Neurospora crassa OR74A: one gene and its partner. The protein of the gene in region 1 purifies or fractionates together with the protein of each later gene. This does not show direct contact. Links are inferred from orthologs where the notes say so. Each region holds a gene or a part of one and is shown on either strand. Other genes may lie near its edges.

Region 1 (3,849 bases):
AGGGGGTCATATAGTAAACATGGGGGATAAGAGGCCCATTCTGAGAGCTAAAATGAGGAAATGAAACGTGTTACCTTTGAACCTTCCCGTCCCCAATCTCCCGGGTGGCAGAGAAGTTGGTCCGAGTAAGGGATTGCCAATGTTGACTGTGATCGACCTCAATAAAGATGATCGCATCGAAAGCCCTCAACTGCGTCCTCGATAAAAGCCCGTAGAGGACATGACCAAGACATGTTGCGATGATATCGCGCAAGATGTCCCGTCATGATTCCCATACACCGTCCCATCGTTGGCTGCCTCGGTGGACAGCAAGACCATGAATGCCTTCCTCCCTGTGACCAGATACTACTCGTCGATCAACTCCTGAACTGCAATCCAAGGCAGCCAACTCTGGGGCTCGATGAGCTTCGAGCTTGAACGCCAGTGAAAGAGTAGGCATATGAAGCATAAAAAAAAGAAATAACCTCGGGCTCAGTCCAACCGAGGCCTCGCCAGAGAGGACAGGGACAACGCTTTGAAAGGCAGTGAAGCCTCAGACTACGCCAGAAAGCAACACTGGACTTTGGCGTCTTGGTCCTGGGAATCTGGCCAGCAATCAATAGACAGAATGAACAGAAAAAGCAGAAAAAGCCATCAGATACAAAGTGTGGACCGAAAAGCCCGGAACTATTGGCAGAAGAGCGCCGAATCAAACCAATGTGTCCGTTGACACAGCTGAAGGATGGGAAAGTGAGTTCGCCGAGATATCTTCAGAGGTGGCCGCGGACGCAGCAAAGCAGCAGAAGCGCAAGAGAGAGGAGCAGGGAAAGGAATTTGTGAGGGTCCAAGTTGGAAGAGAGGAGGGAGACCGCTGGCTTTTGTATGAACCGGTTACCAAGTGGGGCACAAGCACCCAGTCCCTTCCAGCACGTGTGAGGCCGTGAGTGATGGGGAGCCGGGGATTCAGGGCGTCAAGAACCTGGGCCGCTGGGCGAGCTGCCGCACGGGCCTTTTCAGTGACGGGCCGGGATGACGGGCGGTTTCCCAGCTGTCTGCAGTGCTTTCCACTCATGTTGCCAGCTGAGTGTCGAGGAACCGTCAACACTCAGCGCAGCTGGCCCGAATGAGGGCACGTCACCTCGTCAGCAGCAGCAGCCCACCTGGGGCACCTCCAGGGCACTGCAGAAGGGAGGGCAGGTGCAGCGCGTCGAGCCTCCTTGGATTCGCTAGGAAGGAAAGGCTTCAGCACTCGGGATTGCGCTTCTCCCTCGGCTTCCTCAGTCAGCAACAAAAACACACGTCGCCTTCATTTCCACCTCAGTACAGACTGTACAGTACCAAATTCAGATGGAAAGTTGTATTCCTGCTAGGCCGCTTGCGACTGCTCTCTCAGAATCCGTATAGCACATTTCTTCCCTCCCAACTTTCAGTTTTGATTTTTTTTTCTAAAGCAAACTGAAGCTGAGCTGTCCCATCACCAAGTGACTGGAGGATTGCGCTCCGTCGTCTGCTGAAGCTCTTTTGCCCCGTTCGATGTGACAATAACCACCTCTTCGAACATGTTGATTCGCATCTATCCAACCACCACCACTGACATCGCTCGAGCTGGGAGAAGCACTACCAGCCTTTACCGCAACTCGTGATTGCTGAGCCTGTCGACACAACACTACCAACTGCAAAACGTGTCTAAGTTGTGTTTTTAGCGCCGTTCCATTGATCCTACTACACGAGAGCATCATCTCTGCCCGTCATGCCTGGCCTTCCCCGTAAGTTGGTCCATTGCACCCTTTGCGCCACCAACGTTGAAAAGCAGCGGACAAGGCCATGCCCCTCCTCTTCTTGCCCATCCCACGCCCCGCCAAAAAAGACACCGACAAACCCCCAACATAAATTCAACGGCGCAGACATACCACAACCACTGACATGTGACGTGCCGAATAGCTTCGGTCGACCTCGACGAGTGTATCTCACGCCTCTACAAAAAGGAACTACTCGCTGAATCGGTTATCGAAGCGATATGCGCCAAAACAAAAGAGCTGCTAATGCGCGAGAGCAATGTCGTGCATGTTCGCGCCCCCGTTACGGTTGTCGGTGACATCCACGGCCAGTTCTATGATTTGATAGAGATATTCAGGATCGGTGGCTACTGTCCAGACACGAATTATCTATTTCTAGGTGGGTGGTGATCTTGGTGGTGGTGATGGAAGCAAGACGCGGGCGGCGCGTGCCCTCCATGCGGGTGCTGTGCTAAAATGACGACGTTTGACTAACCTTGGGAGAAAAACAACAGGCGACTATGTCGACCGAGGCATGTTCAGCGTCGAAACGATTTCTCTTCTTGTTTGTTTAAAACTGAGATACCCCAACCGCGTCCATTTGATTCGAGGCAACCACGAGTCCCGCGGCGTAACGCAGTCTTACGGCTTTTATACCGAGTGCTCGCGCAAGTACGGCAATGCCAATGTCTGGCATTACTTTACCGACATGTTCGATTTCCTCACATTAAGTGTGGTCATCAACGACCAAATATTCTGTGTACACGGAGGTAAGATACCCCCTTTCTGGGCGCCAGGTGTACAAGCTAGTTGCTAAACCTCTTCTTCCGCGCCAGGTCTCTCCCCTTCGATTCACTCTATCGACCAAATTAAAGTAATCGACCGCTTCCGCGAGATTCCCCACGAAGGCCCCATGGCCGACCTAGTATGGTCCGATCCCGATCCCGACCGCGACGAGTTCAGTTTATCACCCCGCGGCGCTGGCTACACTTTCGGAGCGCAGGTGGTTAAGAAGTTCCTGGCGGTGAACAACATGAACCACATTCTGCGCGCGCACCAGCTCTGTCAGGAAGGGTATCAGGTGCTATACGACGACCGGCTGAGCACGGTATGGAGCGCGCCCAACTACTGCTACCGGTGCGGAAACATGGCAAGTGTCTTGGAGGTCAGCGATACTGGAGAGCGCTTCTTCAATGTGTTTGCGGCCGCTCCTGAGAACGACGCCGTTAAGGATCAGCAGATGAATCAGGACAAGTCGGCGGAGGGGGGCGCATTGCCGGATTACTTTTTGTAATAGTCGGCGAGAGACGGGAAACCCCCCTACATGGTGCGCACTCGGGGCGAATGGGGATAGAGGACGGGAACAGAGAGCATGAGCGTTGCGGATGGTCTTGGCTTGAACTTGTTCGCACCAAAGAGTGTGAATACACTGCATATACCCACGCTAGCGACCGCAATGTCATAGATTAGAAGCAGGCATGAATGATAGAGGTACTCGGGACAGTTTTTTTTTTTTCTTCTCCTCTACTAACAAGTAAGCCCTCCCGATCTTCTTCATAGCAGATAAGAGAAACCGCAAGACCTGAATTGCGTATGTGAGAGTTATGTGTGTTTATACTACTAAGATAAGATGATGTGTATGTATGTAGATAAATGTAAGGAAGTTTTCTCCTCTTCCCCTTCCCTCCTGCCCGGAAAGGGGGGCGTATACCCTAAACGACCAAACCATCCTGTGGCCCAGATTCCGTTCCGTTCCGTTCGCTTGCCTTTCCAGTCCCATACCTAGATAAGGTGAAACAGACGTCGGTGTGTTTCTACCTTCCTTTCCCTTGTCGAGTTCCGGTAGTGTAGTGTATCTTTCTCCCTGTTTCGTGATCTTCGAAACAGGGAGGAAGCGCGTGTTTAGTCTTCTTTCCCCACTCAGCATGATTAATTCCATCTTCATCCTCTATCGAGTTCGCTCCTCGTTCGCGAATGGCGCATCCCTCTTTGCCCACGAAATCAACCGAGGGCACAGCAGTTCGTCACAGTATGCCAACAGCGAAGTGTATGTGTGTGTGTATCCGATGCGGCTGACTAGCTGGACTGAGTGACC
Region 2 (4,014 bases), on another chromosome or scaffold:
ACGTGCGGTGGTGGCACCAACTCTTCAACCGGACGGATGATGAGATGAATGGCGACCTCAATGCCTTGGCCGCAACAGCAGAGCGTGTTGCTGCGTATCAGCAAGCTTCGTCGTCATCAGAGCTTTCAAGGCCTGTCGATGCGGGTACGATTGATGTGAACAGCAACCCACCATCGTCCGGCGCCCCATCGCGGACATCGGTAAGCCCCACCCGGAGCCCGCTGCCGCCGGGCTTGGCAGCTACCGCGGCCGGAGGGTCCGTGCATGCAGGCGTGGAGTCGGCCCACGAGGTTCTGACGCCCGGGACTAGAAGTCCGGCGCCACCAAACCGGAATGTCGCCGCTGGAGATCCTACGGGCACTTTTGCAGCTCTTCAGGAGAGGATTTCCGGATTGTCGCTTGGAAAGGCTATGTTTGGCGGCGGCACCGGTGGGAGCACAGGGCGAAGTTCGATTGGAGGATCTGGCTCTGATTCCGGGCGGAATTCGCAAAACGAACTGGCGGAGCAGGAGATGAAGAGTATGAGTTAGATGAGTGGTGAAGAATGTTGGAGAAAGAGTAGAATAATATGTGGGCAATTGGTTCCCGTTATGAGAATAGCACGTTGGAACAGCATGCTCCCTGATGAAGCAAGGTTAGCGATGCTTTAGTTGCAGTAATGCCTGACTTTATAAGACAGCAAAATATGAACAGCATACATTCCCAAACCAGTATCAGTATTAACATGTGATGATGTTTTAGTGAGTCAGAATTGGAATACGTGATGTTGTAACAACTCACCTTAGGCTGTAACAAGGCAGTTAGTTGGTGTTAAACATTCTCCCCTTCTTGCATCTTGATGGCTGTTGCCATTCTTCCGGAGCTGTAGCACCTCCTTTTTATGTCAGTCTGCAGTGTTTTCCAACAACCTGACCTCACGAAGAAATGTAAGTTGAACAGAAAGAGCGGCTTACGTCGCGAGTTGGAAGCGAAAGAAGTGGTTCATTGATAGAGGTACCTACCTACCTAACTCTCGTGGTGCAGCAAGTAGGTACCTACGTAAGTGGTGCCCGGTGCGCCTTGAGGGGCCACCCCTACGACGGGAACGGGCGGCTACGTCCCAAGCTGAAATGGCGAGTGGCCAGTGCTCCTTCTCAGTTCTCACCCTTGTCCGCCCGGCCCCCGTCATGAACTGGACCCCAGCTTTGCGCGTCAGGTCAATTTGTGTCGAAGACCGGGTCCAGCTGTGTCCCGCCGTTGGTTAGGCGACCTTAAGTGCTGCCCTGCTGCCCTGCTGCCCTGGCTGCTGCTGTTGCTGCTCCTCCTTGTTGCGGCCCTGCGGGGACCACCAAGCTCGCTCCGATCTCCACCTCTAGGTGTAGGTGAGTCCTCCCCCCGAACAGGAACCACCGTCAACCCTCCATCAAGCAACCCTTACCTATTATCAAGCAAAACCGTCCAGTATCATTCCTTCTTTGCCTGCTTGCTGCCCGCCGTGTCGTGGCGCCGTGTGCGAAACTACCTTACTGCTGAGAGATCGCATCCAATTCCGATTTCGACCCGACGAAGCGTCACTCTTGCTTTTTCTTTTTCAACCAAGCAACCAAAACCAACCTAAATACAACAAACCTACCTACCTACCTAGCTGCCCGCCCAAGCAACGCAGTTACCAAGTTGCGCACACGCACGCATCCACTTTCCTCTCTCTACCACAATCACAGTCACTGGTACCGCCGCCGCACAGCGTCGCCCGACCGGCTACCAGTCCAGTCCACACCCCCCCGTCTATTGCATCACGCCCGCAAGCGAACATCCGTACCAAGTCAACCAGTTTGTCCAAATCCGCCTCGCTCGCCGACTGTATACTCCCCCGCGATCTTCCGCGTCCACTTCACAAATCGCCCACAATGGCCGACGCGACGAACGCGAACGACGAGCTCTTCCCCATCGCCGTGCTAATCGACGAATTGAAGGTATGATGGCGGTGACCCGGACGGCCAGAACCCCTGACTATCCCTTCTTGTCTGGTTGATGGACTGTAAACCCTGATTGACTTTGGGCAGCACGACGAGGTCGTCCTCCGATTAAACGCCATCCACCGTCTTTCGACTATCGCCCTTGCTTTGGGTCCCGAGCGCACTCGCGAGGAGCTGATTCCCTTTCTCGATGGTTAGCCAACCCTTCGACCCAGCTTCAGCCTAGCAAACCCACCTGCGCCGGCCTCTGGCTACACAGCCGCTGGGACTCTTGAGATACGGCTGCTGACACTTCTGAATGCAGAATCGGTTGAAGATGAAGATGAGGTCCTCGTTGCCCTGAGTGAAGAGCTTGGTAACTTTGTCGAGTACGTGGGGGGCCCCGCATGGGGACATGTCCTTCTTTCCCCCCTTGAGAACCTCGCTGCTATCGAGGAGCCCGTGGTGCGAGACAAGGTACGGATACGTGACCATTTCCTGGCTTCTTGTCATGCGACCCGCATGTGTACTGACAAACGTTTTAGGCTGTCGAATCATTGAACAAGATCTGCACTCAACTCTCTTCGCAGCAAGTTGAAGAATACTTTATCCCTCTTACGATTCGCCTCTCCAAGGCCGACTGGTTTACGTCCAAGGTTTCCGCATGCGGCCTGTATACAACCCCCTACTCGAAAGTTTCGCCGCCTATTCAAGAACAATTGCGCCAGCAGTTTGGACAGCTCGTCCACGATGAGACCCCCATGGTGCGCCGTCAGGCCGCCACCAACATGGCCAAGTTCGTGAAGGAGATGCCGGCTCCCATCGTTATCGAGGAAATGATACCCATGTTCCAACACCTCGCCCAGGACGACCAGGACAGCGTCAGACTCCTTACAGTCGAGATTTTGATCTCTATTGCGGAGGTTGTGCCCAAAGAGCAACAAGCCAGCCACACCGTGCTCCTCACATCGCTACGCAGCTTGATAGAGGACAAGAGTTGGAGGGTCCGCTATATGATCGCCGACAGATTTGAGAAGGTTCGTGGTCGCGCTAAGCACTTGGCCTCCCCTCATATCAATTCTTGGATGACTAACAGCACATACAGATTGCGAAGGCGGTTGATGATGAGGTTGTGTCCAGAGATCTTGTTCCTGCATTCGTAAAACTCCTGAAAGATAACGAGGCTGAGGTGCGGACTGCCATCGCCGGCCAGATCCCTGGCTTCTGTGCTTTGGTTGACCGCAACGTTCTCCTGAATGACATCATGGGAAGTGTTGAGGATCTCGTCTCGGATAGCTCCCAGCATGTCAGAGCTGCCCTTGGCACACAAATCAGCGGCCTCGCTCCTATCTTGGGCAAGCAAGAGTACGTTCCCGCAGTCAGACACGGTTTCTTTGATGCGTATGCTAATTATTGCACAAGGACTATTGATCATCTTCTGCCCATGTTCCTTCAGATGCTCAAGGACGAGTTCCCAGAGGTTCGCCTTCACATCATCAGCAAACTGGAGCTTGTGAACCAAGTTATCGGCATCGACCTCCTTTCTCAGTCTCTCCTTCCGGCCATTGTACAGCTAGCCGAAGATAAGCAGTGGCGTGTACGCTTGGCTATTATCGACTACATCCCGCTTCTTGCCAGCCAGCTGGGCGTCAAGTTTTTTGACGAGAAGCTCAGCCAGCTTTGCATGGGCTGGCTCGGAGATACTGTTTTCTCCATTCGTGAGGCCGCTACTCAAAACCTAAGGAAGCTGACCGAGGTGTTTGGTGTTGAGTGGGCAAGCGAGGCTATTATTCCCAAGGTTATGGCTATGGGTGCCCACCCCAACTACCTTTACCGGATGACCACTTGCTTTGCTATCACGGTAAGAGACTCAATGGCATACGAAAATCAGTGAAGTCCCTGTCTGACTAGTGTTTACAGACCCTGGCTACCGTTGTCAGTCTGGATGTGATTGCCAAGTCCATCCTTCCGATGCTGGAAAAGCTCACAGCCGATTCGATCCCCAATATTCGCTTTAACGTCGCAAAGACATATGGCATCATCATCGGTGTTCTGCGTCGTCTGCCCGACGAGGGCACCA

What was found. The genes of interacting proteins can lie anywhere in the genome.
Region 2: the proteins of pp2A (region 1) and NCU00488 purify together in Saccharomyces cerevisiae (affinity purification with mass spectrometry; 5 studies listed by BioGRID, with this or other methods). This does not show direct contact. The link is inferred for Neurospora crassa OR74A from reciprocal best matches to the Saccharomyces cerevisiae genes PPG1 and TPD3.

The regions. Positions count from the first base shown.
Region 1 is NC_026504.1:1,636,558-1,640,406, reverse strand, and holds pp2A (serine/threonine-protein phosphatase PP2A catalytic subunit), read left to right. Parts: upstream 1-1,221; 5' UTR 1,222-1,729; coding exon 1,730-1,745; intron 1,746-1,920; coding exon 1,921-2,154; intron 2,155-2,269; coding exon 2,270-2,524; intron 2,525-2,590; coding exon 2,591-3,048; 3' UTR 3,049-3,336; downstream 3,337-3,849. UniProt on the Saccharomyces cerevisiae protein: Involved in glycogen accumulation.
Region 2 is NC_026503.1:4,029,561-4,033,574, reverse strand, and holds the start of NCU00488 (protein phosphatase PP2A regulatory subunit A), read left to right. Parts: upstream 1-1,161; 5' UTR 1,162-1,886; coding exon 1,887-1,952; intron 1,953-2,042; coding exon 2,043-2,148; intron 2,149-2,259; coding exon 2,260-2,411; intron 2,412-2,479; coding exon 2,480-2,971; intron 2,972-3,039; coding exon 3,040-3,299; intron 3,300-3,356; coding exon 3,357-3,795; intron 3,796-3,854; coding exon 3,855-4,014. Other genes in the region: NCU11185 (protein phosphatase), read left to right, coding at 1-530. UniProt on the Saccharomyces cerevisiae protein: Phosphatase 2A affects a variety of biological processes in the cell such as transcription, cell cycle progression and cellular morphogenesis, and provides an initial identification of critical substrates for this phosphatase.